Linked DNA regions of Lepisosteus oculatus. The protein of the gene in region 2 binds, or shares a complex with, the protein of the main gene of each other region. Links are inferred from orthologs where the notes say so. Each region holds a gene or a part of one and is shown on either strand. Other genes may lie near its edges. The genes, in order: ncaph, ncapd2, smc2 and smc4.

Region 1 (7,457 bases), on a different chromosome or scaffold from region 2:
GTTAACAAAGAGAGGAAAAGCTGGAGCTCTTATTGGTGGAACAACCGAGACTTAAGCTGATTCTAAAAACACCTGCACACTGGAGGACTCTAGCTCAGTGGTGCACTGCTCCATTTTTTTAAAAAGAGCAGGTTGGAGGCAGAATTCAATGATCTGTGAACAAAAGCAAAAGTAATCTTCTTCAAACTTTAGTCTTTGAGTTTTATTTTGTGTGTGCTTGAGAATGTATGGTACAGCATGCCAGCAGAAGGAATGCCCAATAAATGTCTGATCCAAAACAGGGGCACACCACCCCCTCTCCTAAACTTTCAAAGCATATATTAACAATGGACTCGAAGCATATTTTGGAAAATTATAATAAAAGCAGTGATGGTAATAACAAACCTCATCATTAACTGTCATTCCCTACCACCCTTCCAAACAAAATAGCCTGGCTGGGTTTTCTGATGGCTTTTCATGTGAAATTATTAATAACCCATTACCCCTTCAGTGAAGCTATCATTCCATGGCCTGTCAGATGCTCAGTACATCAGCAGCTGCTTTTAACTCTCGTCTGCGAGCCACAAAGCAAAATGAGACACACTCCATAAATATTATGCTGAGCCCAACCTGCCTGGAGCAAGCCGGAATTATTATCCTGCATTATGGTGTATTAGAGAACATTACAGATCCCCCCCTCCTAAGGGTCATGATGATGTCTTTTCCCCATATACTCCAGTGCAATTTCTGGTGCTGGAGGGGATCTCATTCACAAATAACCTGGCAGTTTTAACACTCCTATACAGAATACACAAAAATATAAGAACACTGTATGGGCAGCAAATGAGAAGGCCCATCATGCCCACTTGGGTCCTAGTAGCTAATGCATTCACAAATTTAATTCTGCCGTACAAGATCCCAGAGTGTCTGCTCCAACAGCTTGTCAAAACTGCCTGTTCCAGACACCCACCACTCATCTCAGTAATTACCTGACTAAGGGACGCAACAGAGCCAGGTGTGTTTATTCTGACATCTTGTGAACCACTATTATCCCATACACAGGCCATTCAACTAATCGTTTGACTTGTTGCTTCTTTCATCTATTACAGTATGTGCCCCACAGCTTAGATTTCAAAGCTGATTTTGAAACGTGTGGGACAATTAGCATTGCACTGTTGTCTAAACATACTTTAATGTACTTTACCCATCTCTGGTAATTATTTTCATCCCTTCTTAAAAGAATTGTGGAGAAGCCCTTCTGTAACAGCAGAAAGAATAACAAGGAATCCTACTGAATTGGTACGTGGTACTTTTTTCAACAAATTATCAGGTGTTGCTTAGTGCTTCTTGAGGTTATTAAAAAGGTCTTCTCTTTCAGAAAGCTAGTTGATTCAAATTCACTTTAGATCATTTAAAAATGTTGCATAAAAATTATCAAATGTTAATAACTGAGTTTCAGACTTACTGTATGTAAAGAACATTGAACTCTTGTGTTAATACAGCTTGGTATCATTCTGCTTCCAGAAACGACAGAACTGAACATTCAGAATAAACTAAATAGGCAACTGTTTTGGAAAACTGTATTGCATGTTTTCTCCCACCTATAGGCAATGATGCATAATTGCACGTAATTTTCCAAGCAGCCAGGACAGCTAACAGGTAGGTTCCATCCACAGTCAAAACGTAACCTACCTGTAGTGGCATCAAAGCTAACATCAGGCATGATTACATTTCAACCTAAAGTACACTTTTTCTTAGAAGCAGAAATCAATCACATTTTCAGATTTTTTTGTAATTCTTTCTATATAAAATAATGTAAATATAAATAAAGGTATATTAGATGTATCGAATGCAAAAAAATGATATTTCACATAATTAGTAATTGGGGCACATTTATACATCTCCCAATCCCGTTACCCCCTCGACACCATCAAATCCACTAATCTTGCTGGACCCACCCTTTCGGGACTTGAAAGACACTCTGCTAAAATAATTCTTTCTGGCAACCCAGTGCTCTGCACTCCCCCCGCTGCCAATATCTCCAGTTGTGACAAAATTGAAAATTCCCTCAGGCTTTCAGTCAGAAAAATTCAAATTGAGGAGACCTCACCAGGTGCAATTCTAAGTCTTTTAAGGAAATGGAAAAGTTGAAAGTTGGCTTGGTTAAAAAAACACAACATGCCTTCTGAATCCCAGAGCGTAATTGGGCCCACTGGGGCATGCAGGTAAATATGGCTGGAGGATCAGTGCTCGGAGAGGGGCTGTGTATGTAATTAAAAGCTGCGCTTGCACAGGGCTGTGTTCTCAGGCCAGTGAAAAGCCTACAGTGGCTGAACACTCACATTGTCCAGTGTTGCTGCAGGACCTGGGGACTTATCCTACACTCCCTTCCAGGTCAGATATGGCCAGCAGCCATATCACTCTGCAACTCACAACTGGCAACCCACTGAAGCTCAGCAGGTGTAAGCCTGGCCAGTACCTGGATGGGAGACCTCCTGGGAAAACTAAGGTTGCTGCTGGAAGAGGTGTTAGTGGAGCCAGCAGGGGGCGCTCACCCTGTGGTCCATGTGGGTCCTAATGCCCCAGTATGGTGACGGGGACACTATACTGTAAACAGGCGCCGTCCTTTGGATGGGATGTAAAACCGAGGTCATTAAAAATCCCAGGGTCTTGAAAAGAGTAGGGGTGTAACCCCGGAATCCTGGCCAAACTTCCCATTGGCCCTTACCAATAATCCCCATCTATGAATTGGCTTCATTACTCTGCTCTCCTCCCCACTGAGAGCTGGTGTGTGATAAGTGTTCTGGCGCACTATGGCTGCTGTTGCATCATCCAGGTGGATGCTGCACATTGGTGGTGGTGGAGGGGAGTCCCCGTTACCTGTAAAGTGCTTTGAGTGGACTGTCCAGAAAAGTGCTATATGAGTGTAAGCAATTATTAATAATTATTATTAGATTCCCAAAGGACCACTATTTACACGCTGCCTCTTCTGTCAGACTCAAGCACGCGTGTCTCATGCTGCTTACACAATTCAGTAATGAAAACTTATCACATATAATCATCTCAACTGATGATAGCTGGGATGTCAGGTTATGCAAATCTGTCATGGTGTTAGTGGTGTTAGTGGGGCCAGCAGGGGGCGCTCACCCTGTGGTCCATGTGGGTCCTAATGCCCCAGTATAGTGATGGGGACACTATACTGTAAACAGGCGCCGTCCTTCGGATGAGACGTAAAACCGAGGTCCTGACTCTCTGTGGTCATTAAAAATCCCAGGGCTCTTCTCGAAAAGAGTAGGGGTGTACCCCGGTGTCCTGGCCAAATTTCCAATTGGCCCTTACTAATCATGGCCTCCTAATAATCCCCCTCTATGAATTGGCTACATTACTCCGCTCTCCTCCCCACTGATAGCTGATGTGTGGTGAGCGTTCTGGCGCACTATGGCTGCCGTCGCATCATCCAGGTGGATGCTGCACATTGGTGGTGGTGGAGGGGAGTCCCCATTACCTGTAAAGCGCTTTGAGTGGAGTGTCCAGAAAAGCGCTATATAAGTGTAAGCAATTATTATTATTATTATTGTCATGTTAACAGTACCTAACACCTAGTGTAGTCTAAAATCTAATTAGGTTCTCTAAGAGGAAAACAAGCTAACTGCTGTCGTTACTAATACATCTAGAACTATTATACCATATAATAGTTAATATTATACCTGGATAATATTATACAGATATAGATAATATTACACCGGGGTTCCCATCAAGGTCGTAAGCGATTTATCTGGTTAAATAAAGGATTAGGTAAACATCCGCACACCATTTTATCGCGCTATTTCTTATAAAATATCTAGGGAAGGGAAAATGTGCACTATAAATAGCGCCAGGGCCTCCTTTGTACAATATTTCCTGCATTTACTAATAGCACAAAACCTACAGCCCACCCACTTGCCTACAGAGCAGGAAACTCAAATGAGAACCGTGTTTTTGACTATACGTGATGACGTTTTACGATCGCGCCGATGTGCGTGCGCATGCGTAATTGTGTCGGCGCAAATTTTCAAAAAGTGAGGACTGAGCAATCTTAAGTAACATCGTATAACATATTATCCATCATATTCACAAACAGTTTATTGGTGGTGTTTTTTGGGGTTTTTAAATCTTGTTATTTTTAGTGTTGGCTTATATAGCCTTCGGTTAAACAGGATCTAGATCACGGTAAGGCTTTTTAAAGTTTTTTTTTCTGATCCCGGTGCGTGATCTGAATTGTGTTAATACAAAACAGTAATTGGAATTTAAAATCAGAGCTATATAACTTAAATATAGCTCCAATAAATATGTATCTGGGATAACAATATTTTTTCTCAACAATTTGGAAGTTATGTGCTCGTAAAAATTGGTTTCAGAGGAGAAATTTCGGTGATGTTTCGAGTTATTTACATCTCGGCAAAACCAGTAAATATGACGCGATCGCTTATAAAACTGCAAGTAATGTACGCACGGTTATGTGCGCTCGTTACGTTAAAATTATATTTATAATGTATCTCGATTATCCAGTAGAATTGTTAATACAGCAGTAGAAACCACCACAGACCAAAACAAACATCGCACTCCGGATGTTTCGCCTCTTCTGTCCCTGGGCGACTCTCTATTGTAACAGTCAGGCCGGTGTGTCCTAACCTCAGTTGTATTTTAACTGTCCATAACAGTGTTCTTACTGGGGTTGAATAATAGTGTAATTCCTTATTAGGTTGACTTTTATAGAAAATGACTCACAGAAGTTACATTTACCTGTTTTTAAAGGTGGACTTGCTGAAATAATCTGGTTAAAGTACTTTATACAGTACTTAATCCCTACTCCACTCTTAATTGTACAATGCTACCTATGATTTCAACAGGAAGTCGGTCGAAAATTAAAGCTTGTGCTTCATAATGCATTCTGAGTATTTGTACTGTTCTAGCTGTTTGTGTAACAGAGCTTGACTAATTGTAATTATTGCTCAGTTGAACAGACAGACAAGGACATGTTGTCGTAAAAGTATAAAAGTGCTAACTGTACTGTGACGAAGAGCCATCCATAAAATGGAGGAAACACTGACTTTGTAGCTAGACCTTGTATATCATGCAAAAAGCTCATAGATATTCCAAGGATGAGGAAATATTCTAGTAGAGTTCTACTTATGCTAGATTTGTTCATTGTAATATGGGCTGGATCTGTATGTTAAGCGCTGTCTGAGGGATGGTCTGTACTACTATACTACTATTACTACTACTACTAATTATTATTATTATTATTTATTACTCTACTCAAAGCTCTTTATGGGTAATGGGGACTCCCCTCCATTACCACCAGTGTGCAGCCCCACCTGGATGATGCGACGGCAGCCATAGTGCGCCAGAACGATCCCCTCACATCAGCTATGAGTGGGGAGGAGGACAGAGTGATGAAGCCAATTCAGAGATGGGGATTGTTAAATATGAAGTTGCATGCGTACCTCATTCTTATTGCCAGCTTCGGGGTTGTCTAAGAGTGCTGTTCTGTGCCATCTCTCTCTCCGAGGCAGCCTGTGCCGCGATGAGTGCCTCCTCCACCCCCCGCCTGGGCATGCGCTCCCACGTCCTCACGGAGATGCTGCCCGGGAAGCAGTTCGTCTCGCCCTCCACCCGTGCCAAGGTGGTGCAGGTCGCCCACCAGCCGCTGCTCAACAGCTGCCCCAGCAACGATGACGACCTGGAGAAGAGGCAGAGGCGGCGCTCCAAGGTCATCGACCTGCACATGAGCGGCCTGGATGGCTCGCTGCTGGATTCCCCTGCGCGCAGGTCAGCCGGGGGCTTACAGCCAGGCCACAGAGTTTCATGAGCATGTGTTTCCCTGTGTGACTGTGGGTGGCAAGGTGGCACATTACAGTAGATTTCCTGTAGGGCTCTCCTGCTTAAATACCTCCAAGATCCTTTTTTATTTATTTAAGCGAGTGGCACGGTGGCGCAGTGGTTAACATTTCTGCCTCACAGTTTCCAGGGAGCTATCAGTGTGAAGTTCGTATGTTTTCTCCGTGTTTGCCTGGATGTCCTCCTGGTGCTCCACTTTCCTCACACAGCCCAAAGACGTGTTGGTAGGTTAATTGGCTTCTGGGAAAACTGGCCCTGGTGTGTGTGTGTGTTTGTGTCTGTGCGTGCCCTGTGATGGATTGACATCCTGTCCAGGGTGTTTTCTGTCTTGTGCCCCTTGCTTGCTGGGATAGGCTCCAGCTTCGGCACCCCCACGACTCTGTTTTGCATGAAGTGGTTAGAAAAGGGATGGAAAGCCTGAGCTTCTTGAAGCAGTGGTATCGCACGTCAGTTATACTGTCCATCATTGTAGGATTAGCAGTTAGAATTGTTCTCAGTGTGGAGTTCTGGGGGAATCCCAGAAAAACAAAGGGAAAGTTCTCTCTTACATCAGTGAACCTTCACATACAGATGGGCTTTCAGAAAAGCAGAAAAAGGTGTAGATAGATAGATAGATACTTTATTGATCCCGTGAGGGAAATTGCAGTGCAACAGCAGCTTAACACACACAACACAGCCACAGTGTAACGAATTATATACTAATAGTACAATACATACAATACAATACAATACAATACAAGAGTTACTCACAGTCCGGACACACAAGAGGAAACTAGAACAGAACAGTACACAGAAAATCGTATCACACGTATGAATATAAATATAGATGTAACCATAGATGTAACCAATAGATGTAACCAATATAAATGTATTGCACAGGTCCCTGGCATATATTGCACAAAAGTGGTTGTCAATGGGAAAAAGAAAAAGAAAGAGAACAGAGGTAGCGCTGCTCTTTGAACATTGCATGCAGGGATCCAGTGTATATAGCCTCACTCAGCAGCCTGATCAAAAGATCAAAGAGATCTCCTGGGGAGACAGATTGGTGTCCAGACCCTTTGTCTTTCTGATATATTTCTGAGCCTCTCAGATGTGTACAAGGTTTTTAAAGCAAAATGAATTTGCAACAGAAATTTTCTTCTTTGGTTTCTCCAGCATGTTCATGTTAGGGGTTTATGTTGTGGTAAAATTCTGTTCTGTTTCTCGGAATGTGTTCAGTGGTACAGGTACTCCAGCTGCAGTGCCCAAACTGTCCAATTCCGAGATCTCTGAGCACTATTCCACCTGCATCAAGCTTTCTACGGAGAATGTGAGTAGAGAGTCACTGATGATTTGCTTGTTTTCACAGGTTCTTATGGCAGTGAGGGCCACTATGTTCACTTAAAGGAAATCTCCCTTAATGTATTTTTTGTTCTACCCAAAACAGTACTGTCTGTGGATAGCTTGACAATAACTGCACCTAAATTTGACAGAATAACCCCAGAGTATCTGATTAATAATTACTAAACTAATTCAGCACTATCATGATTATTGAACTCTGATTCAGTACTCCTTGTTGGAAGTTTGAAACAGTCCTTTTTAAGAATGTATGTGCCCTT
Region 2 (7,709 bases):
AAGTGGAACCACTCAATGGAGCACTGCAACATGAACACACATTGCACCACACCGCGCTGTTAATTCACATCCTGCACAACCCAGCACAGTAATTCACCACGACAAAGAGACATCACCGCCCTGCGCTGTTAATACTGACAAGACGCACAATGCCCTGCCCACAGTGACACTACACCTAATACTACCAACATGCTTCGCAAGCCAAATAGTGAAACAACACACATCACGCACAACCATGGAGACGCACAGAGGACATACAGACGCACGATTGGACACTCACGTCGGTGTTGTCACAGCCGATCATTTCTCCGTATGAAACCTGGTGACAGAGGCAGTACGTGGGCTCGTTGGGGTCCACAGGCATGTCCAGTACATCAGAGGGGTGAACGTTCCCAAAATTCACGGAGGGGGTGCTGTATTCTCCCCTGAAAGTCGGAGAGAGAGAGAGAGAGAGGGGTTTAATCAGAAAAGGGTGTAAACACTGCACAGAGAGACAGCACAGCAAACAGACAGAACTTCATTCCACGGAGAACGTAGCAAAGACGAAGATGGGGAGACAGGCAGAGATGCAGACAAAAGATTGAGATGGAGGGTAACAAGGAGAGTGAGAAGTGAGGACAGACAAAAAAAAATGTGGGTGAGACACTGACGTGTGGATCAGTTTGACTTTCTTCTGGCCATTCTTGGGGCTGCTGTCGTCGTCCGAGTTCTTGACCTTCGACCTCGTCCGGGCCACTTTCTTTTCCTTCGGCCCCCGAGACTCCGCTGGGAGAGAGGGACAGAAAGTCGTCAGCCGCGGAGCCCAGGGCGAGGGTGACCCGTGCACCCCCACCACCACCAGAGAAGGCAAACCAGGATCGCCGGGGGCGCCCGGCTGGACCCCAGGCAATACCAGCACGTCCCGGCCACTCACTCTTCTTGCCCTTGCTGGACGCGGAGTCGTAGTCGGTGCTCTCGATCTGCTTCTCCTTCAGGTCCGCCTCGAAGCGCGCCAGGTCGGTGTCCAGTCGCCGGATGTGCTTGTCCACCTGCGAGGGGGCAGGTGGTGGTCAGACCGTGTCACATCAGGCCTCCCTGACAGTGCAGTATGTTAACGGGCACAAAGTAATGCAGGACACGCCAGGACATCCAGTCTGGGTCACGTCGCTTTTGTGACCAGGGTTCGAGTCAGCAAGGGGCGCCCCCCTCCTCCAATGGGCACAAGCTCTCCTGTGGGGCTGGCGGAGTGTCCCAGGAGGAGTGGCGTGAGAGCAGCGCGTCCACATGAGTCCTTCTCACAGAAGGGCTCCATCGCTCACGAGGCGAGAGCTGAAAACCGGCGTTTCCAAATCGGGAGTTTGATTTTTTTTTAAAAAGAGCAATTCCCAACCCTGAAAAGAAAACGTAAAAGTAACGGCGTGCTGCGAGTCTTCTTCCTCTGCTTTGGCCTTCTGGGAATTGCAATGGGGTGGTAGAGCAAGCAACCAAAACTACAGAACAGCAAAATTACCTGGTTGTATTTTTTCAGCTCTGACTGGAGGAGTGGTGCAGCTCTCCATGACAACACTGAGAGCCCCACAGTGCCCACAGCACCGTCACTGACTGGAGGAGTGGTGCAGCTCTCCATGACAAACCTGAGAGCCCCAAAGTGCCCACAGCACAGTCACACTGACTGGAGGAGTGGTGCAGCTCTCCATGACAACACTGAGAGCCCCACAGTGCCCACAGCACAGTCACACTGACTGGAGGAGTGGTGCAGCTCTCCATGACAAACCTGAGAGCCCCACAGTGCCCACAGCACAGTCACACTGACTGGAGGAGTGGTGCAGCTCTCCATGACAAACCTGAGAGCCCCACAGTGCCCACAGCACCGTCACAGTGACTGTGAATGGTACAGATCTCATTAACTCACTGAGAGTGCCCAAAACAGAGTTTTCCCCAGCATAAAATGTCCAGGAAGCCAAACTTCACAGCTGTGTCAGGCTCATGGGTTCCAGCAATTTTTAAATGATACAGAACCAGGACCAGGGCTCAGAACTACGCCAGTTTCCTAATCAAAACACGTGGGGCAGCGCCGGCGGCTGGGGGTGAACTCACCATCTCGTACGTCTGCATGGCCAGCTGAACTTTGTCGTCCCCGAACTCCTTGCACTTGCTGTAGGACTGCTGGATCTGGCGCAGCAGGGAGAGCTTCTGCTCTGAGGACAAGGTGCGCGCGTTGGCTGTGTATTCTCGTGCCAGGCCATCGATCTGCCCCTTCAGGTCTGAGGAGGGAGGGGACAGAGCAAGGGAAGAGGCAGGGAGAGGAAAAAGAAGTGAGGAGAAAGACACGAGAGGCCGAGATTACAGAATGGTTTATATCACCCATGTAGGTCAACATACATGGGGATACAGTGGTCCTTATAGTCTGCTGCTCCCCTCCACCACTAGCATTACATCACATAGGAATATGCTGCACTTTAAGTATAAACTATTTATGTTTGTTCTTATAGTCACAGACTATGTTTACTGCAGCTGCCTAAATACAGTACTAGACTACCATTAGGATGTGGTTTTCCAAAGGGTGTCAAACCCAATCCTTGATATTTTGGAAGGGCTGTAAATGCATATTTGCTTTAGTAAGGATTTCTGAGAGTGCATCCCCTCTCTGGAACCCAGTGTGGTAGTGTCTGTTCTCCCCGTGTGTCCAATCCTCTCTCCTGCTCTGCTATACGCTCTCTCCCCACCCCCACCTCTCGCTGGTACCTTCAGTCCGCTGGTCCAGGTCTCTCATCAGCTGGAAGTTCCTCTGCAACTCAAAGGGCAGATTCTCAATACCTGCAGGAAAAAATTAATAATTACAGCTGCAGTGCCGGTATCCAGCTCCTAGTGTACAGTAATGGGAGTACCGTGTTGCATTCAGACTCCGAGTGCACAGCAGGGTAATCCACTCCAGGTTTTACAGTACTCATGTTCTGATCAGAAACAAATTACACTGTATATCTGAAATGTTGCGGACACCACGAGCTCAAGGCAGAGACTTCGGTTTGCGCAGAACAAGCTCTCTATGATATTCTGTCCATCTTTTAACTGCTTCTTCCAGTTGAAGGTTGTGGGGGAGCTGGTGCCTATCCTGGCAAGCAATGGGCACAAGGCAAGGTACACCCTGGACAGGATGCCAACCCATCGCAGGGCACACACACCAGGGCCAGTTTTCCCAGGAGCCAATGAACTGAGGGAGGAAACCAGAGCCCCTGGATGTAACCCATGCAAAAACATGGAGAACATACAAACTCCACACAGACAGCATCCCAGGAATAGTCCTGGTAGCAGTGCAATGTGAGGTAGCAATGCAAACCCCTGCGTCTATACTCGCCTACTTTTATTTTAACAATTTCAAAAACAATGACTGAAAATGAATCTGATAAACATTTTCAGCTCTTCTGCACGCCTGCCATGGCGTGAGTTACGCACTACAGTCCTTGTATGTCTATCAGCTAATCGCTTTCACATTTCCTGTATGTCTGAATGTTCCACAAAAGTCCTGCATTTTGCTCTAACGCTGACAACTTTAAAGAAGACCGATTACTTCTAATGCGTGAACTCCACGTTAAACAGCGGAGATTGGTGGTCTGTTTAAAGAAGCCAGCTAAATCATCAACGTTCAGACTGTTATTGCTCTCCTTTTCAGTACTTTCTTTATCAATAAGCCCCATATGGATTTTAAAACGCATTGCTCAATTTCAAACTATAAATCGGCGACTCATTTGTCCACATATTGACATAAACTACATCAGTAATTGTAAACACATCTACCGTTATACACTAATGCACATTGTAAATAAATCGTTCCATGGGCAAAAACCATTCACTCCTCATGATGTCCTTTCTAATAAAACAAGAACAGCCATTTATTCCAAAACAGCATACCATTTGAAATTGCATTTGATCACAATATCCCCGTTTGGATTTTCAAATGCTGTACAACCCACACATCCAAACTGCGCTTCAACTGGAAAACCACAATACGAGGTACAAAAAACCAAACTACAAGGACTTTTAACCATGGAAGATTTTTCTTCTGCATTAAGTATCCGAGGGATACTTCCAAATAATCGATTTTCTCAGAAAGGGATAATGATAGTTATCACTTACTGTCCAAATAATGCTCCAAATACATCCCAGCCGCCATCTTGACAAGCTGCAAACAAAATAAAGGCGCTTCCGGTCCGGCCGGATATAGAGCCGAGAGAGAGGGTTGCGGGTGAGGTGGTTGAAATCTTTTTTTCTTCCCCCTCCTCCTCTCGACGTTAATTTTTAGGTTATTTTACAGCGGACCAGAATATCTTGAATATTTTATTTTGCCTGTTACATCGCATTTTCACGCAGAACTAAAAATGTTGTTGAAAACAAATATTGAGGACGGCTTTAATTTTTATGGAAATTGCTCATTGCTGCCTACCTCCTGCAGTTCGGCTCCCATCCACAAACGTGACGCTACTAACTGCACAGTACCGGTGATGAGTATTTACAGAAGTTCATTGCACAAAATCATCGATCTTTTGTGTATGTTTCATGAACTACACTGTTGTTTACTTTGTATTAATTGATATGGGGTGGGGGGACGGATATATCGCAATGTACTATAAATCTTAAAGTAACTGCAAATTGTTTTGAAACATCTGCTATTTATTTATTTTCACAAAGAAAACTGATATGTTAGCAATAAATTCAACGTTTCCGAACAACTATCATTATATTGTGTTTTTTAGCCGTTTAATTTAGGACCTAGGACCTAGATTAAATTTAGATTAAAGATCTAGATTAAAGTTAATAATAGATAACTTTTTTTTCTAGATCTTCAAAACGTTCAAAAATAATCGGTGGTATTGTTTAAGGCTGTAAATCTGCAATGGTAGAAATCTTATCTTTTATGGTGAATTTACACATAAAACCCTAAAACGTGCATCGGTGTGTAAGCATTCAAATCTATTTTTTAATTCATTAACAAAACCAAACAGTTTCTGCAGATGTGTATCGAACGGTGTAATGTATTACGCGTCTACGTTTTCACCGCGTCTTGCTTTTTATTCCGTTTTTTTGTGAAAGCTAGAAAAAAAACTATTTAAGATGAGACAACAGCAGCAGTATTGGCTATCGGTGCTTTGCGGTGGCTGAATTTGTTTTCCTCCATCAGCCTCGTTTTCAATCAGACATGGCCGCCGCGGTGAAAGGGCTCTATTCCCTCAGCCTATGCTGGGAGCACGTGGACGGAAGTCGCCGCAGCCATTGGCGCGGGAGAAAATTCAAAAAATGTCCCGGCTGCCGACTAACCGCTGTTAGCCGACTAGCCGCTGCCTGGCCTGGAGGTTTACAGGTAACGTTTGTTTTAAATACGTTGTTTCAGTCGGCTAAACCCGTAAGAAAAACGGGGTTAAAACGTTTACTTCTCGCTTTTAAATTTATTTTTATACTTTGTTTACCAGGCGTCTTATGCGAGTCTCAGGGAGCGAAGCCGAGCAGTTAGTGGGAAGCGAGTGAACATTTGCCGTTTTGAAGGAAACTCTCTGGGGCCCCAGAGAAAATTACAGAAACCTCAATAAGAAAACCGAAGCGCTGCGGTAAGTCGGATTTCTTTGTTTCTTGAGATATATATATATATTTTGCTGGCGTCGTAATAGTATGGTATCGTCAGAGCTGGTGGCTGTGTGATGTCTTTCGTCCGTCTCTCCGCCTTTTCTTCAGGTTATGACTCCGTTTTGGACCCGATGGAGTCTAATTATTTTAATGAACTTAATAATAAATATTATAAGCTGGCTCCAGAAAGTTTTTATAGGTGCCAGTACGTTAAGGAAAGCAACGTTAGGGGGTCATCAGCTTCCTGTGTTTGTCAATATAAATGTAAGGGTCAAGTTGACGATTTGGGTTAGCCCAAAAAGCAGATTAGCCTCTTACTTGATCCAAGAAGTTGCTTCAATTCTCGATTTACGTTTTGTTCCTAATCTCAAATTTGTTATTTTATGTCACTTAGAAAATACAAGGGTTAAAGCTCCAACGACAATAATAATAATGGTTCCTTACGTTTATATAGTGTTTTTATGAGCACTCCACTGAAAGTGCTTTACAGGTCATGGGGATCCCCTGCAACACCAGTGTGCAGCCCCACCTGGATGATGTTCCAGTACTCTCCCCACACACCAGCTCTCAGTGGGGAGGAGAGCAGAGTGGTGAAGCCAGTTCAGAGATGGGGATTACCAGGGAGAAATTTAGCGTCAGGGTAACAGCCTACTCTTTTTGAGAAACACCCTGGGATTTTTAATGACCACGGAGAGTCTGGACTTTGGTTTCATGTCTCAGCCGAAGGACGGCGCCTTTTTTACAGTATAGTGTCCCCATCACTATACTGGGACATTAGGACCCACATAGACTGTAGGATTTGTGCTGATTTCTGGTCCCACATGTTTAAGCTCTGGAAACAAACGGTTCAAATCAATCTTATTAAGTGAATGAAGGGACTGATTGTGTGACCGGGGACTCGGCTGGAACAAAAACCCACAGGTGTGTGGATCGCCAGGACTGGGAACCGGTACTCTAGGTCCTCCGGGAACTGGGTGACCCCTGTGGTTTGAGCTCAGGTTTATTAACCCTTCTCGCTTTTTGTTGCTCTCTCCGCCCCTCGTTCACACTCGATCCAGTTCTCCATCTGAGCCGCTGCTGTGCGTTTCCGCGCGCTCTGTGCCCACACTCGCAGGCGGCCATGTCCCAGTTCGACTTCTGTATCCCGCTCTGCCTGGGGGACCTGGTGAAGACGGGGGCGATCAACCAGTATGTGGTCCAGGACGTCCTGTCCCCCAAGCAGCTGGCCGGCCATGTCCAGAGTGAGTATGGAGAGGGAGGTGCACACCCGGCTATACATATGACTGGATTCAAAGTCTCTCATGGGCTTGTTAAGCCTGAGAGGTGGCTCCACGTGCTCGTTGGTGGGGTGGCTCTTTATTTCTGTTGCACAGTGTGTTCTGTTTTATGCAGTCTCTGGAGAGCCATTTCAGTGCTGATTGGTTTGCGATGCAGTTTCCCCTTTGTGTTGGCGAGTGCCTTGCACTCTCCCTGCAGGTTATGTTGTAGGACTGCCCTTCCTGCGGAAGCCAAAATGTCAGGTTGGGTGATTGTGGCAGAAAGGTTAGCAGCATCACTGCCTTTGTGACTTAATCTCCGAATCTAACCGTGAAAAGGCCTTCCAGTATGGCAATTTGGCCACAAGTACATCTCTGCTCTGCTTTCTTCCCTGTCTGTTATACAATGTGTATTTCAATGTTTATGTAGTTCAGTGGCTGCTCTACAAAGGTACTGCTCTGACTTCAGTCTTCCATCACACACCAGGAAAACAGGCACAAATTCTTCCTTTCTTCGTGTGATGTTGGGTAAAGATCAAGTAAATGTCTGATGACTGCTGCAAAAAGGTTTTTTTTTATATGATGAGATCTAGCGCAGAGCAGCTATCCCATGTTCTTCTGACATTATGGGGGCTGTCCTGCTCTTGTGATGGTTGAAGGACAGTAAATGCATGATAAAGAAACAATTCAGTGTTTTTGAAAAAAGACATTTAAGCACTTTCCGTGGTTTTGTGCTCAGACTAGTATCAGCACACAAAGCTGTCAGCTGCTCACAAGAAGGTCACTTTTTTTAAAGTCAGAAGGTTAAAAAAAAGTGCCCCCTTCTGCCCTTTTAAGTGAGATTTCACATTAAAGCTT
Region 3 (8,064 bases), on a different chromosome or scaffold from region 2:
TCCTGGGTTTAATTCCTGCCTGGTAGTCCTCTGGGAGGCATGTTCTCCCTGTGCCTGTGTGGTTTTCTCCAGGTCTTCCTGTTCGCTTCCACCTCCCAGAGAGATTCTGATTAGGTTTGTTGGTGTCTCTACAGTATGTCAGGGGTTGTCAAGTCATGTCTGTGAGAGTCAGTGTCTCTGCAGGGGTTTCCATGTTTCCATGTTCCCCAACAAAACAAAACAACAAAACGGAAGCTTGTCTGGTTGTTGAGAGAGGGTATGGGGGTGGGTAGTAGACACCTGTGGTCACAACGTTATAGAAAAGATATTATGATATTGCTTCTCTGGAATCAGTTCAGAGAAGAGCAACCAGAACCCTTTTATACTTTAACAGAGAAAACTACAAGGAGGCCCTATACAAGTGTTCAAGGTCCTCAGTGGCACTGGCAGAATTAACCCAGTGGATTCTTCAGAATGAACAGTGAAATGCATTCTCCAGGTGTGCCTTCTTTTATCTCCCTCCAGTGCTCAGTATTAGCATTTGGATGCCTGAGGGTATAGGCCTCATCCCCGACATCGCCTGACCTCTCCCCGTTATCCCTGGATATGTACAGTATGTTCGTGTTTTCCCACTCACAAGGATTTGAACCTTGTGTCGTCTCAGGCTGGGTCTCCCGGTTTTGGACTCATGGATTGTGCCCTGACCCTCCTTCGGACCTGCTTGGATTTGGACGCCAGTCTTTGTTTCCCTGCTCACCATTTCACGAACTGTCACAGTTACTTTGTTGCACTATTAAACCACTGTGTGTTTTCCCCGAACTACAGTACGTCTCCCGCTTCCTTCAGCTCTTGCCGCTTCACAAGGAGTCTAAACACAACACCCGAGACGGACTACGGAGCCAATCTGTAACAAAGAGGTGTTTAGATCTGCTTCTCCGGTAATGTAACACCCAAAGGTACACATTTATGAAGTGAATCACCACACTTTCTCAGGCCATCTCATGATGAAAATGTTACTTAACATTAGTTTCACAGTATTCACAGCAACATAAATATTCCTAAATGGAAACTTCATCCCAACAATGCAGATTTTCCTGGAATGTTTAGATATTTAGTTGTATTTTGGGTTGTTGGGTCAAATATTGTGCATGCAATAATCCTAAATTCACCCAGGTGTGTTAATATTGAAAAGAAAAGATTATACTTGAACAACAGAGAAGCAAGTACATTTTTGTGAATTTAAATGATTCTGTTTAATTACCCATAATTTGTGTAAGGCAGGCAGAAGAAAACATATAAGTGAAGTTAAATGAACAGATGGAACTTTAAAAAATGTGTTAATCAGTGTGGTTTTGCAAAACATCCACATTGTCTACATTTAATCCACAGTACTATACTGTATTAAAGAGCTTCTAAATGAAAACATCAGATCAAAACTGGTTAATTCATTCACACATTTTTTATATTTTTTCAAAATGCTAAAATGTGTCATAGAAACAAAATAAAAATGGGTATTAGTACGTTTCAAATGAGGCAGTGTCAGAAATTCAGCAGATTTAAACAGTCTTGTAGCAGTATTTTATTCAATAAGGTCTGACTCTTAACTTTACTTCCAACCAGATACAATCTATTAACTGAGTCACAGCAAAGTTTTTTGCAATTTCCTTTTGCAAAACCATCTTAAATTAAATTAGGAAGATTTAAAAAAAAAAAGCAGTTTCTCATTTGCACCTTAACTGTTGCAAAGACTGTTGAGTGTTTCTGCTGCTTACACTGATCCACTAGCTTGGTGAGATGTGACAGGACAATTCATTTATGGTGCTCTACAGTATGTTAATCACAATGGCTGCCTGAATAAGTTGGTCTGCAAAATGTAAATGACCATTGTCTAAGAATTGATATACCAAATGACTCGAGACATGGAGGATTTAATTACATGCGGATCTTCTTCAAAAGTGTACTTCACAGACTGCACCAATTCTTTCTAGCTTCCCACTGAGTGATTGCATGGTTGGAGAGACAAGACCTACTGTATAATAACAGCTCCTCTGCTACAAAAAGCTTTCGACTAATTAACTCTAAACTTTATAGGTACAGTATAACACTAGTAACAGGATTTGTTTATGCAGGATGAACAAAGGAGAAAATAAAGTACAGTACCTGCATAAGTCAAGGTGGCTGCCAGACAATTGCTTCCGTTATTTAGTCCTGTATAAACAACATTACCTTGAAACTTAGACATTCAACACCAATTAAACAGTGACAAGGAAACAGCCAAAGACACAAACTGCTTCTGCACTCCAAGTGTTTGGTCCTTTCACTCTACAGTGTATGGTTTTAAACATTTGTGCCACCAGGATGAAATTTGGCAAAATAGGGAAATCGAGATGACTGTCTGGTTGCCAGTTCTTTTTCTGATTTATTTTTCTTTTCCTCCAAATTCCTGATTTCTTGGGAAGAGTAGGACATACAGTAACCTAGGTGCACAGAAGGAAAAGGCTCTATGGACAGCAACTCATAACCTCTAAGAAGGGGTAAACTACAGACCCGCACCAGGCTCGGGGTACCCTTCTTAGGAGGTCAGAAATATAACGGTGTGGTACTCCCTTCTGGGCCTTAAAAAACAAGAGTGATATCTTGGCATCTATATGAAATTCAACAGGAATGTCAAGACAGAGGGTTTGACAAAGTCAGACCCAGTCAGTACTCAGTCAGTTGCTGTGTTCTGAACCCACTGAATTTTGGCACTGACAGAACTTAATATAACTGAGCAACGTTACAAAGACAAAAGAAAGCCGTCCTGGTGATGCGTTGGATATTCTCTTCAGAAATTAAAGTAGGGTAAAAAAAATGTCACATATATGTCGTATTAACATATCAGTCACCATAAATTGCCATGCGTAGATCATAGTTGCTCAGTTTATCTCAGTTGATGCAGACCAATAGAAAACGGCCAAATGACAAATAATCATTAAGACACAATACAAAGTACCCAGTTGAAAATGATAAAGAAAGTTATCAAGGAGAGTAAAGTTATATGTATACATTATAGAAATAGAAATTTAAGAAGTCAATAGTGTTCAGTATTGTTATCAATGCTGGACAAAGAATATTGCTGCTCTAGAGATTAAAGAATAAACTTAGTCATTTCCTGTTTTAAAATGCATAACGCAGACAGATGGAAAATGAAATTAGTTTTCCCAACAGGGTAATTGTGCACCAGAAAACATCACTGTAAGATCCGGTTTGATTCCCTTGTAAGACATTTAACAAAACAGAATCAATTTCTACGAAAGAATAATATGTGCTACACAACTGTAATGTACTGCTGCCACACAGTGGCTGTTTTCTTCTGTATTTCATGTGCCAACAGATTTCTGTAATAAAGTCTGCGACTGTAAAACACTTGCAAAGATTAAACAAAACCTGTAGCTTGGATGAAAGGAGCAATGTACTCACACTAGTGAACCATTTGAGGAAAAGTGCCTTTTTTAAAATTAAGGTTCTAGGATAAGGATTTATATTGTAATATATAATTAGCTTATCGTATTTTGCACAGACTGAAAATGATACTGAACAGCTTAAACATTAAGATCATTACAATTAAATATCATTACAGTTCACATAACCCCGTGCAGAACATTGAACCTTTACAATAGAATGGAAAAAATGCCCACATACAGCCAACATTAAAGTACATAGCAAAGGATACGCCCCTGCGCATTACAGTGATGTTGGCCGCCCGGGCTAAAGAAAGTCTTCTTTAGCTCAGCCGGCAAGACCCGGGTTCCAGCCCATGTGAGGGCAGAAGCCCGAGAACCCGAATTCAATATTAAAAAAACGTTAATCTTAATACAGGTAAATAATATTAACAAAAACAAGAAAGGAAACTGGTCCCATGTTGGCTCCAATCGTCGTCTACACCCAACCTTGATGAGCACGAGTAATCGGAGCCAAAATGGCACAGGGAGGACTGCAGTTTCCACGTTGTAAACGGTGAACGCCACTGAATGACATCAACCACCTGTACGGGACTGATATAGATATTTAATACGAATACGGTATAAAAATGTTCACTCATTTCTTCATTTCACTGGAACCTAAACTGAAATACAGGTGATGTTAATGTCAGGCTGAGAAATATGCGCAGACGAGGTAGAAATTAGGGTAACAAAGGTTTCCCTTAACAGCCAGGGGTGCGGATCCTTCAGAGAAATGAGGACTTTTCCCCCTTAACCACAACCGTAGAGCAAACTGAGGTATTTGAAGCGGCATGTCTTTTTGCCTTAACTGAAACAGAGAAGTGCTTCGAACAAAAATGTGTTTGTCCTTATTGTGCCGCATTACAACAATTATGTATGTATCGTACTCCGCAGCTATATTATATATTTTTAACTAAATTACAGAGAATTCCTTTAAAGCTGCCCCCCAATCATATTATGCAAATAAACATGCCATTTATTGTTTAAAACCATACGACATTAACAAAGTAGCATAATAGAAGCACTATATATAACTGATCGGTTTCTCTCTTTTCTGTTTTCAAAGCGCTACGCAGGCGGGACAATCAACTCAAAACAACCAATCAGCAGTGACTCTTCCTACGCCAACCTGACGTCAAATATTTTCCTTTTAGCTGGCAAAATAATGCCTGAATGAAACAATGGTTGAATTTCAATTTTTAAAAAAAAATTTTTTTAGGAAGACACAGTATAATGAAAAAAATATATATCTCTAACTTAATACATTAAAGGAATCAAACCTGTAATACTACACCGCTTTTCAAATTATTTCAGGCGCATCGAACACCAAAGAGGACCAGCGCTGCCTGCCGCCAAAATTCAAGTTCGCTGAACACAGGAAGAGTAAGGGAACAGTGGCGTTTTGTTATTGTGTGAGGTATGTATTCACGTTTTGGGTAAAAATAAACGCAGTTTTGAAAGCGAATGTATAACAGCAACCGTTTATGCCTTTTTTCACCTCATCCCAGGTAATCGAGAGCTGAAACAAGGCTTCGGGAGGTGACACTAGAATACAACTTTCCTGTAGCTGCGGATGAAGTTCATCGGGGAGTTGAATTTGTAAAACGTTGAAACGAAGATGTACATCAAATCTATCATCTTAGAAGGCTTCAAATCCTACGCCCAGAGAACGGAGATCAATGGCTTTGACCCGTTGTTCAACGCTATCACCGGTCTGAACGGCAGTGGCAAGTCCAATATCCTGGACTCCATCTGTTTCCTGCTCGGGATTTCCAACCTGACTCAGGTAGCGCCGGGTGCCCGTACGCTTTGCACTAGCTTGTGAGCAGTGCTAGTTTTTACTGTGCGGTTCACTTTTTTTTTTCGGTGTGTTCCCCCCCACCCCGATGCAGTATGAATTCGTGTTTTATGCTAGTCCCTAGGCATGCGGGGGGAAACCGGGAGTACGTTATATATTATAAATGTCACCGAAAGATCATCCCTGGAAATCTCGTTTAGGTGCGAGCGTCCAATCTTCAGGATCTGGTCTACAAAAACGGTCAAGCTGGGATCACTAAGGCCTCTGTTTCCATTACGTTTGACAACTCTGACAAGAAGCAAAGTCCCCTTGGGTTTGAGACCCACGACGAAATCACTGTTACGCGTCAGGTATTTGTTTTTATCATTAGCCCGGACTGCAGTTCTGGTATGTTTCATTTTTTTTTCAGAATGCATTGCATTCGTTTAATAAATGAGATTTGTATTGAGTGCTTTTTCCCCCCCGTCTATTTTAAAGGTGGTCATTGGTGGGAGAAACAAATACCTCATAAATGGGGTAAATGCCAACAACAACCGGGTACAAGACTTGTTCTGCTCCGTTGGGCTCAATGTCAACAATCCTCATTTTCTGATTATGCAGGTGAGCATAATTGATAGCTATACCTGTACGTCCCTGTTATGAATCGTTTTGAATTTTATCTCAAGACCTGCTTTGAAGGATGAATTTTTAACGCGCAATTTCTTAACATGTGCGCGGAATTGCTTGTAAACGCATAGTTTGTGTTAAGGTATGTTTGTGTCGAGTAACTTGGGACCACTTTTGATTTTTTCAGGGCAGAATTACGAAAGTTTTGAACATGAAACCCCAGGAGGTAAGTCAGCTCTGCTGCTTTCTTATGCATCTCTTCCCTTCAGGGAATCAGAATGAGCTCCACCATCTTTTTTTTCCTCTGAGCAGAAATCTGCACGTTAAAATATTTCACAGGAGAGACCCATGAGAAAACAACCCACAAATATTTGTTATTGTACCTTAACATTTCTGGACAGAAGACAGTGTTGTTTATGAAAGTGTAACTAAATAAACATTTCAGTTAATCTAATGTACTGTAACCGGATAGCAGCATTTTATACTGATTTAGGTAGAGTTTTGCATTAATTGTTCTGTAGGTCTGTAGGAACTGAACTGATGTCAATGAGGAATTAAAGTATTTTTATGTTTGAAAACGCCATAAAAAATGGAAAAAAGGAAATAGCATTCTTGAACCCAGTTTATAACTTTTCAGAAAGTAACAAATCCCCAAGTGTGTATTTTATAAATGAATAGGAGACTGGAGGCGATAGTGTGTTATTGGTGTTCTATTTAGCTTGTCACATGATGCCCTCAAACTTGCCTTGGATTTTTTTCGTTTTTAAAACCCCTAAAATGACTAAATAAAAAATTAAGCGAGCCCCTTTTTGCTAATATCTTATCTGCTGAGACTTTTCCCTCCTGAGATAGTTATTCAACACATACAGTACAATATTGACAGGAAGTTGTAGTTTAATGATATCAAAAGTATATACCCAGAGGGCACAAAACTGGTTTTGCTAAACTAAACTGGGGATGAAGTAAAGACGATTGCCAATAAGATTATAAATAGAGATTGTGGCTATAAATGAACATTGAAAACATGGAATATGGTGTGATGTAGTACTGTAGTACCCCTAGTCTTTGGGATTGATGAGTATTCTTTATTTAGATCCTGGCAATGATTGAAGAAGCAGCAGGCACCAGGATGTATGAGATCAAAAAGATGGGTGCGCAGAAAACTATTGAAAAGAAGGAGGGCAAGCTAAAAGAGATCCAGACGGTACGGTATCATTGTCAGTGTGCAGAGCTTCATTTCATTCTGGCTGAATGGTAACAGTAATAACCACATATTTGTGTTTTTCGACAGGTGTTAAGAGAAGAGATCACACCAACTCTAGAGAAGCTGAAGGAGGTAAGTCCTACCAGGTTATGGGGTGGTCCAGAATTGTGTTTTTCCCATTGGTAGGTTGTAATCTGTAGCACTCCTGGTGGTTTGTTTATTTTTCTAGGTATTTCTTAAAACGCGGATCTTTTAAAAATGACAACAGTGAAAGAAGTTTGGAATCATTGATGAATCATTATGCCCATTTGTATATGTTTTCACAACAGGAAAAAAAGTGGCTGTTTTGAAAAAGACAAGTTAAGAGGTACATGGCCTGAGACCCACTTCTAAGCCTTTGTTTCGTAGGAACGATCATCGTACTTTGAGTATCAGAAGGTGTTGAAGGAAATGGAGCATCTTACTCGCCTGTATGTGGCCTATCAATTTGTGTGCGCCGAGGAAACCAAAGCCAAGTCGGCTGCAGAGCTGAAGGTGCTGGAGGATGGCACAGTCAAGCTGCGGGAGAAGATGGCAGACAATGAGAAGAAAGTGAAGGAGCTCTCTCAGGAAATTGCTCGGCTGGAGGACAAGAGAGACCAGGTGCTGTAGCTCACTCTTCGCTTTTTGATTGTTCGTTTTGGAGTATAAAGAGAGACTCATGGCTTTTAGGAGAGCAAAATCCTTATGGAAACTCGGGTTGTGTGGGCCAATGTTTTCTTTTATAAGTCCTTCCTGATAGGAAAATATTTTATGCGGTGCTTTGCAGGAAATAAGTTAAAAATTGCTCAGAACTGAAATATTGTATATACAGTAGGAGCTGAAGTGTGGGCAGCACTGTGGTTAGCTTCGGTGCCTCGCAGTGCTGAGGCCCTGGACTCAATTCCAGACCTGGGGTGCTATCTGCTTGGAGGTTGTTCTCCCTGCATTTATGTGGGTTTCTTCCAGATGCTCCG
Region 4 (7,528 bases), on a different chromosome or scaffold from region 2:
TTACTCAGCCATGTTAGTCAGCCTTTAACTACTGAAATTGTGCTTAAAGTTTGCCTTTAGAATGCAATTTAATTCCTTGTAGAAAAGAGCATAGTTTTATTTTTTCTGTACTTCCAAATTTATTTTACTTTCATAACTTTGATGTCTAAGCCCCCTTATTTTAAGACCACCTATGAACACAGCGAGGGTGGTCTTAGTACATGTTATACTGTACACTTCAAAGTGTGCATCAGACTTCTCATCTGCCACAGAATGAATTTCTGGTCAATGAAGCGTGTTTTTAACTTCTTTAAGTTGAAAAGAGTAAAGGACTTTTACAGCAGAATTAAAGACCTGAGTCCTCATTTGTATAGTCAATTGTTTTATGTGTGTATCTCTACAGTCTATCAATATGGCAGACTCACAGAAAAATAAATCCAGCCTACTGTTTATTCCCAGTACCATATATATGACTTAAAATACTTAAAATATTAAATTAACATTAAACTCCACCCAAGTTAAACTTGTATGACATATATCCACAGCAATCATTTACGATCTGATTTAACTGTAATGTTATTATCTAATTACACAAAAGTTCAAAAAAGAACATACGATAAAACATAATCGTACTTATATTAGGAGGACAAATTTAATCTTAATCTTGTTTCAAAATATTTTTTTAGGTGAGAATTTTTAAGATTCATCAGCATACGCACTTGGGATATTTATGTAAATGACAATAAAAGTTAAACTTAAAACAAAGTCAGTATTGAAATCTAATATCTCTCACTAGTTATTAAACTTCTAAGCAACAGTGGCCAATTATGGTTGTACAGATTTTTGTTTTCTTCATAAATTTCAAATTGGCTCTCTTTAAAAACCGGGAAATTAAGGCAATCTAAAATTTGTTAAACTCAGTGGGGCAGATAAGGCAATCGCTATAGAACCCAAACTTTGGTGGTGCATCAAGCGAGATGGCACCCTGACCTGTGTACTGTGTGCACTGAATGAACTGAAACTGTGCTTCAGATCTGTGCTTCATTAGTTACTGGGGAAATGTTTATGACCTTTTTATCAATAGAATGATACTTAATGTGGGACGAATATAGTAGGAAAGTATCATTATGGTGACAATAAAATGATTATTATAACACTGTAATCATCATAAATAACTCTGGCCGCCATTTTGTCAGCCTGCAGCACAGTCTGAATTGACACATGGCAGACTTCATTGACTTCCAGATCTTCTTCAGATCTGCATCTCACAAGTTGCTGAGACAACTATTACATCCCTACCTATTACAAGGTCAGCAACATTTTGTCAAAACACAGAACATATTTCAAACTTCTACTACTTAAAAAATATGGCTGCCCAATGAACTCTATACTTGCCAAGTATCACTCCAGTAATAGTACAATTTCAATATGGCAAAATGGGGTTCCTGTATAAACCAGGATGAGCTGATTTCCATTTTGTTAACAACAATGGCCCATATTGCCCACAGTGCAAACTTATTTTCGAAAACTGTTCGATCATTTACCTCCAAACGTAACAGTAAGGGTGGGCGATATGTTTAAAAAATCTATACCACAATATTTAAATGGTACAGAATATACACATCATGATATTGCGTAATGTTTATCAAGGTTCGGTAGTATTGCAACCTTATTGTAATTGGGTACTCGGAACAGAGAATGAATGGAAATCATGGTACATGGATTTTTTTTAAAAGTAATGGCAATATTTTCTCAGAATATTAATGATGAAATCTAAGTTAATAAGACATTATAAGCTTCAGTTCTCGTTCACTATTCCCCCACGTTTGGGACAGGCATTGACATTGGCAGTGTCCTGGGGTGATGCTATAAACAAGGTAGTAAACAGAAAGACAGCTACAGTATACCAGCGCAGGACCATTCCAAAGGAAAGGCAGTATTTGCCTGAGGACAGCATTGTAAAGGGCAGGAAATGTGTTTGCTTTAATCTATGTCAGCATTCCAGCTTCCAGTCAAACATTTTATGTTATAAAATACATCCTCATGGTTAAGGCACAGTACAAGTAGATTGGAGGAATGGTATATAAAGCAGATGGTAATGATTGATGAGCACAATTATTTATGTGAGTTAATAGATTATAGACGTGATATAATTCAAAACACTGTACTGTAAATTCCTGGAAATTACACAAAATAAGTCAAGAAGCTGGTATTAACACAAGCAGCAACTGAAATTTCCAAAGTAAACGACAATCTTGGGTTATCAGAAGGTGATTTAAGAATATATAAGAAAGAAGAGAAAGGGGTTCTATTTTAAAGGATGCTTCATTTGAATTCCGTTATGTGATATACATCACCATATTGCCCAAACTTACTTGGCAGACATCAATTCTAGTGACCATGCAGTTACAACATGATGAAATAAGGCTCCACTGTAAATTAATATGGTCTCCTGATCGCTTTTTTTATCAATATTCGAACCGCCCCAGTCTTGGGGAAAAAAACTTCACAGACTGAATTGAAACTTGGGAGATTTCATCAATACCCAAATCTGATACTTATCTAGGAAGAAACTAACATATCCCCCACTCATTACATGGGTAATTGATTTCTAATGTTTGTAAAAAACACTTTTCTTCCTCACACTATAAACAACTTTAACAATGTCACATCTCAAACTAAATCAGAAACTGGCTGTATGATTTTTTACGTTGAACAACAAAGTTAGTTTGAATTTTAGGACTCTATATTATTATTCTGTTAATTAACTGGTAACTTCTGGAGCGATACAGAAAGGAAGAATCCTATCAATAATCGGAAATCCTTAAATCCTACATTGGATTTTTAAATACATTTCAAGTACGTGCTTTGGAAGAAAATGTCAGGAACAAAATAGCATAGTTATGGTTAGTTTTATTCTTTACAGCGTTCGTTACATATGTTTAAAGGATATGTTTAGGCTCCTTCAAGATTGATGTCTTTAATCTCATGGTAGCGATTTATTAGAAGCCCGTGTCACTTGTATACTCAGGACCTATTGGGAGAGGATTAAGCAAAATAAAAAGAAAAGAAACAGCTATTATCTCATCATAGGTGTCTTTATTACAGGAAAACATAACCGTCCACAGCTCCAATAAATTGCAGAAAATTAAAGATTAAGCACCTGGTCTACATTTTATATTTTTATGTCTGTTTCCTGTTATTTTACGGTTGCACGTGTGGGATTTTTCTTCAGGTTCAATACATACAGTTAACGTTTACATGGTTTATAAACGTTTATACTTCACACTCTTTGTTAAAATGCCACGTTAAAACATCTTGAAGGTTTATTTAAAGTGAGAACAGGGTGTCGGTAAACTGCAGTAACGTCCGGTAAACACAAGCAATAAAATGAAGATAATAATAATGGCGTGCATGCATGTATTAAAGAACAGCTCAAAGTTGAAAAGTGAAATTTGGGCATATTTAGGAATGTGTGCTCCCAGATTTTCTAAGTATTTATTATGTAAATTACGTTGTGAAAAACAACGTGAATTGTAAACCACAAGTGGGTATATATAACTTTACGTATGTTATCGACCCGCTGTCATTGATGCATAAAAAATATCTGTTGATATATTCATTTGCAGAATAATAAAAACAAGCATCCCGTTGCTAGGGCAATGAAACTTCCTGGAATATTTGTAAAACAGTACCAAACACAACTTAATATTATAAAGTCATATCTAAAAACTCCATTTATTTTAGTATGCCAATCGACAATTTTCACGGGTTAAGGAAAAAATACATGTGTACTGCACAAATTTCATTAGACTACGGAAAAACTTACCAGTCTTCTCTGGTTGAGCCGTCTTGACTGTATCGCGAGACTAGACACCCCGTTTCTTTGGCAACGAACCAAGCAACAGAACGGAAGGAGGAAAAGTGTCTTTTAAAATAGAAATAACAAACCTAATGTTATATAAAAATGATTTTCTGCGATTGTGAATTAAAAAAGACCAACGTAAAAACAGACATTAATAATATGTATGTCAAAACTCCTCCCCCGCCGCTCTCCCGGTTTCTAGGCAACAGACCTAAGACGTAATGACAGATAAGTCGAAAATATATTGTAATTAAGTCCGTTGTTATTTTTATCTCGCCATTCAAGGGTGTTCGCACGGGGTTTGTAAGTTAAATGATGGGACTGACCTTGAAAAATCTTTAACAAGGGTGTTTATGAAAACGGTCAAGAGCTGGCTTCGGCCCCCTTTTTTTTTAAATTTCTTATTTTCTCGCCCGGCGCAGTTCCCAGGATGCCTCGCGCCGGTTTGTAACGAATTTCGGTTTGACTTCAGCTTTTCGGCGCCATTTTCGAGTGAGGAGCTGCGCTGGGAGTTGGGAGTGGGGATGAGAAGAGACTGATATTTTACACATTTGGGCTCTTTTTCTGTTGGCCTCCTTCCCTGGATTGCGTTAAAAACCTCTTGAAAAATACGGAAAAAAATTAGGACACCGATCTGAGGTACTTGGGTTTCTTTGTGACGTACAGTTAAGGGTAAACGCTGTTAGAGCAAGAATATTTTTAGCGGGACGGATTCTAGCAGACTTGACGGACCGGTGAGGAGGAGGAGGGGGGTTATTTGTAAACACATTTGAAGGACGACTCTTACAGTGCTTGCTAAAAGAAAGCGTTTATCTGGTGACTGAAAATTACTCTAAAGCTTTGCTCCGGCCGAATTCACATAGCTGTTAGCTTTTCAGTTTCTTCGCATCTCACACTTGTTCGTGCCTGTAGCTGTGAATGTTAGTTGTTTTTTTTTTTTACTTTCAGTTATCACTAAATGTTTATCTTGTCGGATTAAGCTAGTACTTTCTAATAACTCGTCAATCGGAGACCCTGGCAGTGAATTTATTTTATATCTGTGATTTCATGTATGTTAATGTTGCTTTCGTTGCATTGTTGTTGATGTTCCGAAGATTTTTTTTTAATTGAGTTTTTGGGGAACTTGATTTTTTTTGGGGGGGTTTCCAAGACTTTCTAAATCATTGACGTATTTGTATTAAAAAAAATACAAAAATAAATATTGACGATACACCCGTGTCGATAGATGAAGTCACAGTAGCGGTAACGGGGGTCGCTTTCGTTTGGACAGCCGTTTTGTGAGGTAGCACTTGCGTGTTTCGAGTATCGAAAATGAAGGAAAAAAAATCAACCGTTTCATTTGATTTTCCCCGTTGGTGGAGATGGTGGATCCATTGCGCGACAGAACTAAAACATTTTTACTACGATTCGAATCTGACCAATCAAAATTAACTTTTCTTCAACGCGTGCTAGAGAAAAGCCCACGATTGGCCGCCTGGAAACCTACGGGACTTGCATTTTGTTTGCAAAGATAAACTTGTAATTCTGGCTGTTGTGTGTTAGTAATGTGCGCTCCGGAGTCTCTGTTAAAGACGTCACGGGTTTTTTTTTCCTTCTTGTTATGTGGGGGTAACGTGACGCGGTGCCTGATGCGTGCAATCCAGTTATCAGTCCACTTCTTATTAAATGAAATCAGAAGAAAATATCTGCCGACGAATCAACTTCCTTTCCTGCAAATTTGTGGATGCGGCTAGATCATAGGATACACCATGCTGGGTTTTTTTTATGTTCAGGATGTTTTCCCCTTCAAAAAAAAGGATAATGTTGCTCTTTTAAGTGTGATGTGCACTGGTAGCCCTACCTAAGGTCTTCGGCCGAAAATGCGGGTTCCGTGGTCCTTTGAGACGGATTATCGTGAAATGCCCCCTTTGAGGGCTGACGAAGGAACTTGACAAGTGGAGAAGCGTTGCGATGGAGATCTGTCCTCCCTTCTCTTGGGGATTTGTTCTGATGTGAGATCTCCCCCTCCAGATTATAGCAATGCCCTCCAAAACGACAAAAAGCTCAACTGCTGCCCAGCCGAAAGGCAAAGGGGCGCAGCCCCAGGATGAGTCCGCGGACGAGATGGAAGTACCCCCTGGAGAACCCAACTCAGATGGCAGTGTAGCACCACAGAAGAAGGGTGAGTTACACTGCACTGCACTGCACTGGGGAGAAGGGAGTTGCTGGGCGGCTAAAAAGCACTTTTTAATGCACGGATCTGAGGAGTTGGGCATAGCAGTGTTGAATGATACAGTATTGTGATGTCCAAACTGTTTCCACGGACAGTCTCTTGATTTATTGGTGCTTCGTGTACTTTAGGTTCAAAGTTACCGGAGAGATGACAAGTTTAATTTTTTTTCCTGGAGTTCTTTCATGAACGACGTTTGTTGATTTTTTTACCCCCCACCTTTATCTGGTATTTGACAAGTAGAAATTTCGTGATGTCAGGAGTGGGTTACTGATGACCGAGTACTTTTCGATACTTTTCGATCCCTGTGTTTTAAGAGGAGGAAAGTTGGGAATTGGTCTTTCAGGGCAGAAACAATGATGTCCGTACCAGTGCATTGTCTTTCTTGTTAGTAATAACTTATGTAAGGTCTGAAGAGCTTGCAATCAGACGTTTGTTGAAATCGCAACGGTGTGTAATTTTTAAACAGCAAATCTTGCTATCCAAATTAGTTTGAAACTGTGCTTGACGTTTGTAAGAGTTTTATATTGAACATTTCTCGTGAAGACAATTAAAATGTTAATATTGTAAAAAAAAAATGCGCTTGAATGGTTGATTTCCAGCAATGTTATATCGACGAATGTTTAAAAGCGCACTGACTGAATTTGCACTTAGGATTTAACTTCCGATGTTTTTCGTTGTCTTTGTTCTGCCAGTGTGACCAGAACGGCGGTTGGCTTTCCCGCACCCCCACTCACGACACCAGTGTTGCTTGAAACTGAACTTTTAATGTCCACTTTTCAACTTAGATGCAGGTCCCGGAGCGACAGCAGACGCGGTTGATAATCGAAGTTTAGAGGAGATTTTGAGTAGCATCCCTCCTCCCCCACCCCCAGCAATGACCAATGAACCGGGGGCTCCTCGTCTGATGATAACTCACATTGTTAATCGCAACTTTAAATCATACGCTGGTGAACAGATCCTGGGGCCTTTTCATAAGGTAAAGACATGTAAAGAGAGTTGTAAATGCAGGGTATCAGATGGGAAATTAGAGAGCTCACTTTGCATTAAGTGTCCACTTTCTAGGTATAACAGTTTCCTAGCAGTTTTGGTCTCCAGAACCTTCTAAAAATGTATGTAACTAATATCTCTGGGTGGGAAATTTTGAGTGTTAAGTACAAATTCTGTCTTAATTTTATGTTGAGAAGGGGACTTATTTTATAAAATTGTTAAAATTCATAAACTATTTAAAGTTTCCTGTATATGCTTGCTTTGGAAAATAAAATGAACACAACTAGTGTGTTTTAGACAGTGGTGTATTTTCTTTTCTTTTGGATTTTCTTCCAGTTGTTCAGTAGAATGAAGTTTGCTTGTTAATCTCTTCATTGACATTCAACAGTTTCCTCACTACTGTGCATTTGTTTTAAAAAAAAACTTGTTTCTAAAACAATTCAATGGTTTTGTTTTCTTCCCTCAGCGCTTTTCCTGCATTATTG

Evidence for each region.
Region 1: ncapd2 (region 2) and ncaph share a complex: the UniProt entries of both Homo sapiens proteins name them as parts of the condensin complex. The link is inferred for Lepisosteus oculatus from reciprocal best matches to the Homo sapiens genes NCAPD2 and NCAPH.
Region 3: ncapd2 (region 2) and smc2 share a complex: the UniProt entries of both Homo sapiens proteins name them as parts of the condensin complex. The link is inferred for Lepisosteus oculatus from reciprocal best matches to the Homo sapiens genes NCAPD2 and SMC2.
Region 4: ncapd2 (region 2) and smc4 share a complex: the UniProt entries of both Homo sapiens proteins name them as parts of the condensin complex. The link is inferred for Lepisosteus oculatus from reciprocal best matches to the Homo sapiens genes NCAPD2 and SMC4.

Annotation. Positions count from the first base shown.
Region 1 is NC_090697.1:68,557,192-68,564,648, forward strand, and holds the start of ncaph (condensin complex subunit 2), read left to right. Parts: upstream 1-3,995; 5' UTR 3,996-4,188; intron 4,189-5,530; exon of another isoform or gene 5,531-5,534; 5' UTR 5,535-5,545; coding exon 5,546-5,790; intron 5,791-7,077; coding exon 7,078-7,168; intron 7,169-7,457. UniProt on the Homo sapiens protein: Regulatory subunit of the condensin complex, a complex required for conversion of interphase chromatin into mitotic-like condense chromosomes.
Region 2 is NC_090718.1:3,616,722-3,624,430, forward strand, and holds the start of ncapd2 (condensin complex subunit 1), read left to right. Parts: upstream 1-4,350; 5' UTR 4,351-4,524; intron 4,525-5,155; 5' UTR 5,156-5,335; intron 5,336-5,444; 5' UTR 5,445-5,579; intron 5,580-6,653; 5' UTR 6,654-6,715; coding exon 6,716-6,836; intron 6,837-7,709. Other genes in the region: ing4 (inhibitor of growth protein 4), read right to left, coding at 1-23, 281-425, 651-765, 914-1,028, 2,077-2,243, 2,725-2,796, 4,114-4,150. UniProt on the Homo sapiens protein: Regulatory subunit of the condensin complex, a complex required for conversion of interphase chromatin into mitotic-like condense chromosomes.
Region 3 is NC_090696.1:71,821,953-71,830,016, reverse strand, and holds the start of smc2 (structural maintenance of chromosomes protein 2), read left to right. Parts: upstream 1-4,738; 5' UTR 4,739-4,878; intron 4,879-4,969; 5' UTR 4,970-5,079; coding exon 5,080-5,247; intron 5,248-5,459; coding exon 5,460-5,609; intron 5,610-5,736; coding exon 5,737-5,859; intron 5,860-6,052; coding exon 6,053-6,091; intron 6,092-6,958; coding exon 6,959-7,069; intron 7,070-7,156; coding exon 7,157-7,201; intron 7,202-7,477; coding exon 7,478-7,711; intron 7,712-8,064. UniProt on the Homo sapiens protein: Central component of the condensin complex, a complex required for conversion of interphase chromatin into mitotic-like condense chromosomes.
Region 4 is NC_090708.1:6,028,656-6,036,183, reverse strand, and holds the start of smc4 (structural maintenance of chromosomes protein 4), read left to right. Parts: upstream 1-4,333; 5' UTR 4,334-4,483; intron 4,484-5,854; 5' UTR 5,855-5,863; coding exon 5,864-6,005; intron 6,006-6,841; coding exon 6,842-7,032; intron 7,033-7,509; coding exon 7,510-7,528. Other genes in the region: ift80 (intraflagellar transport protein 80 homolog), read right to left, coding at 2,935-2,969. UniProt on the Homo sapiens protein: Central component of the condensin complex, a complex required for conversion of interphase chromatin into mitotic-like condense chromosomes.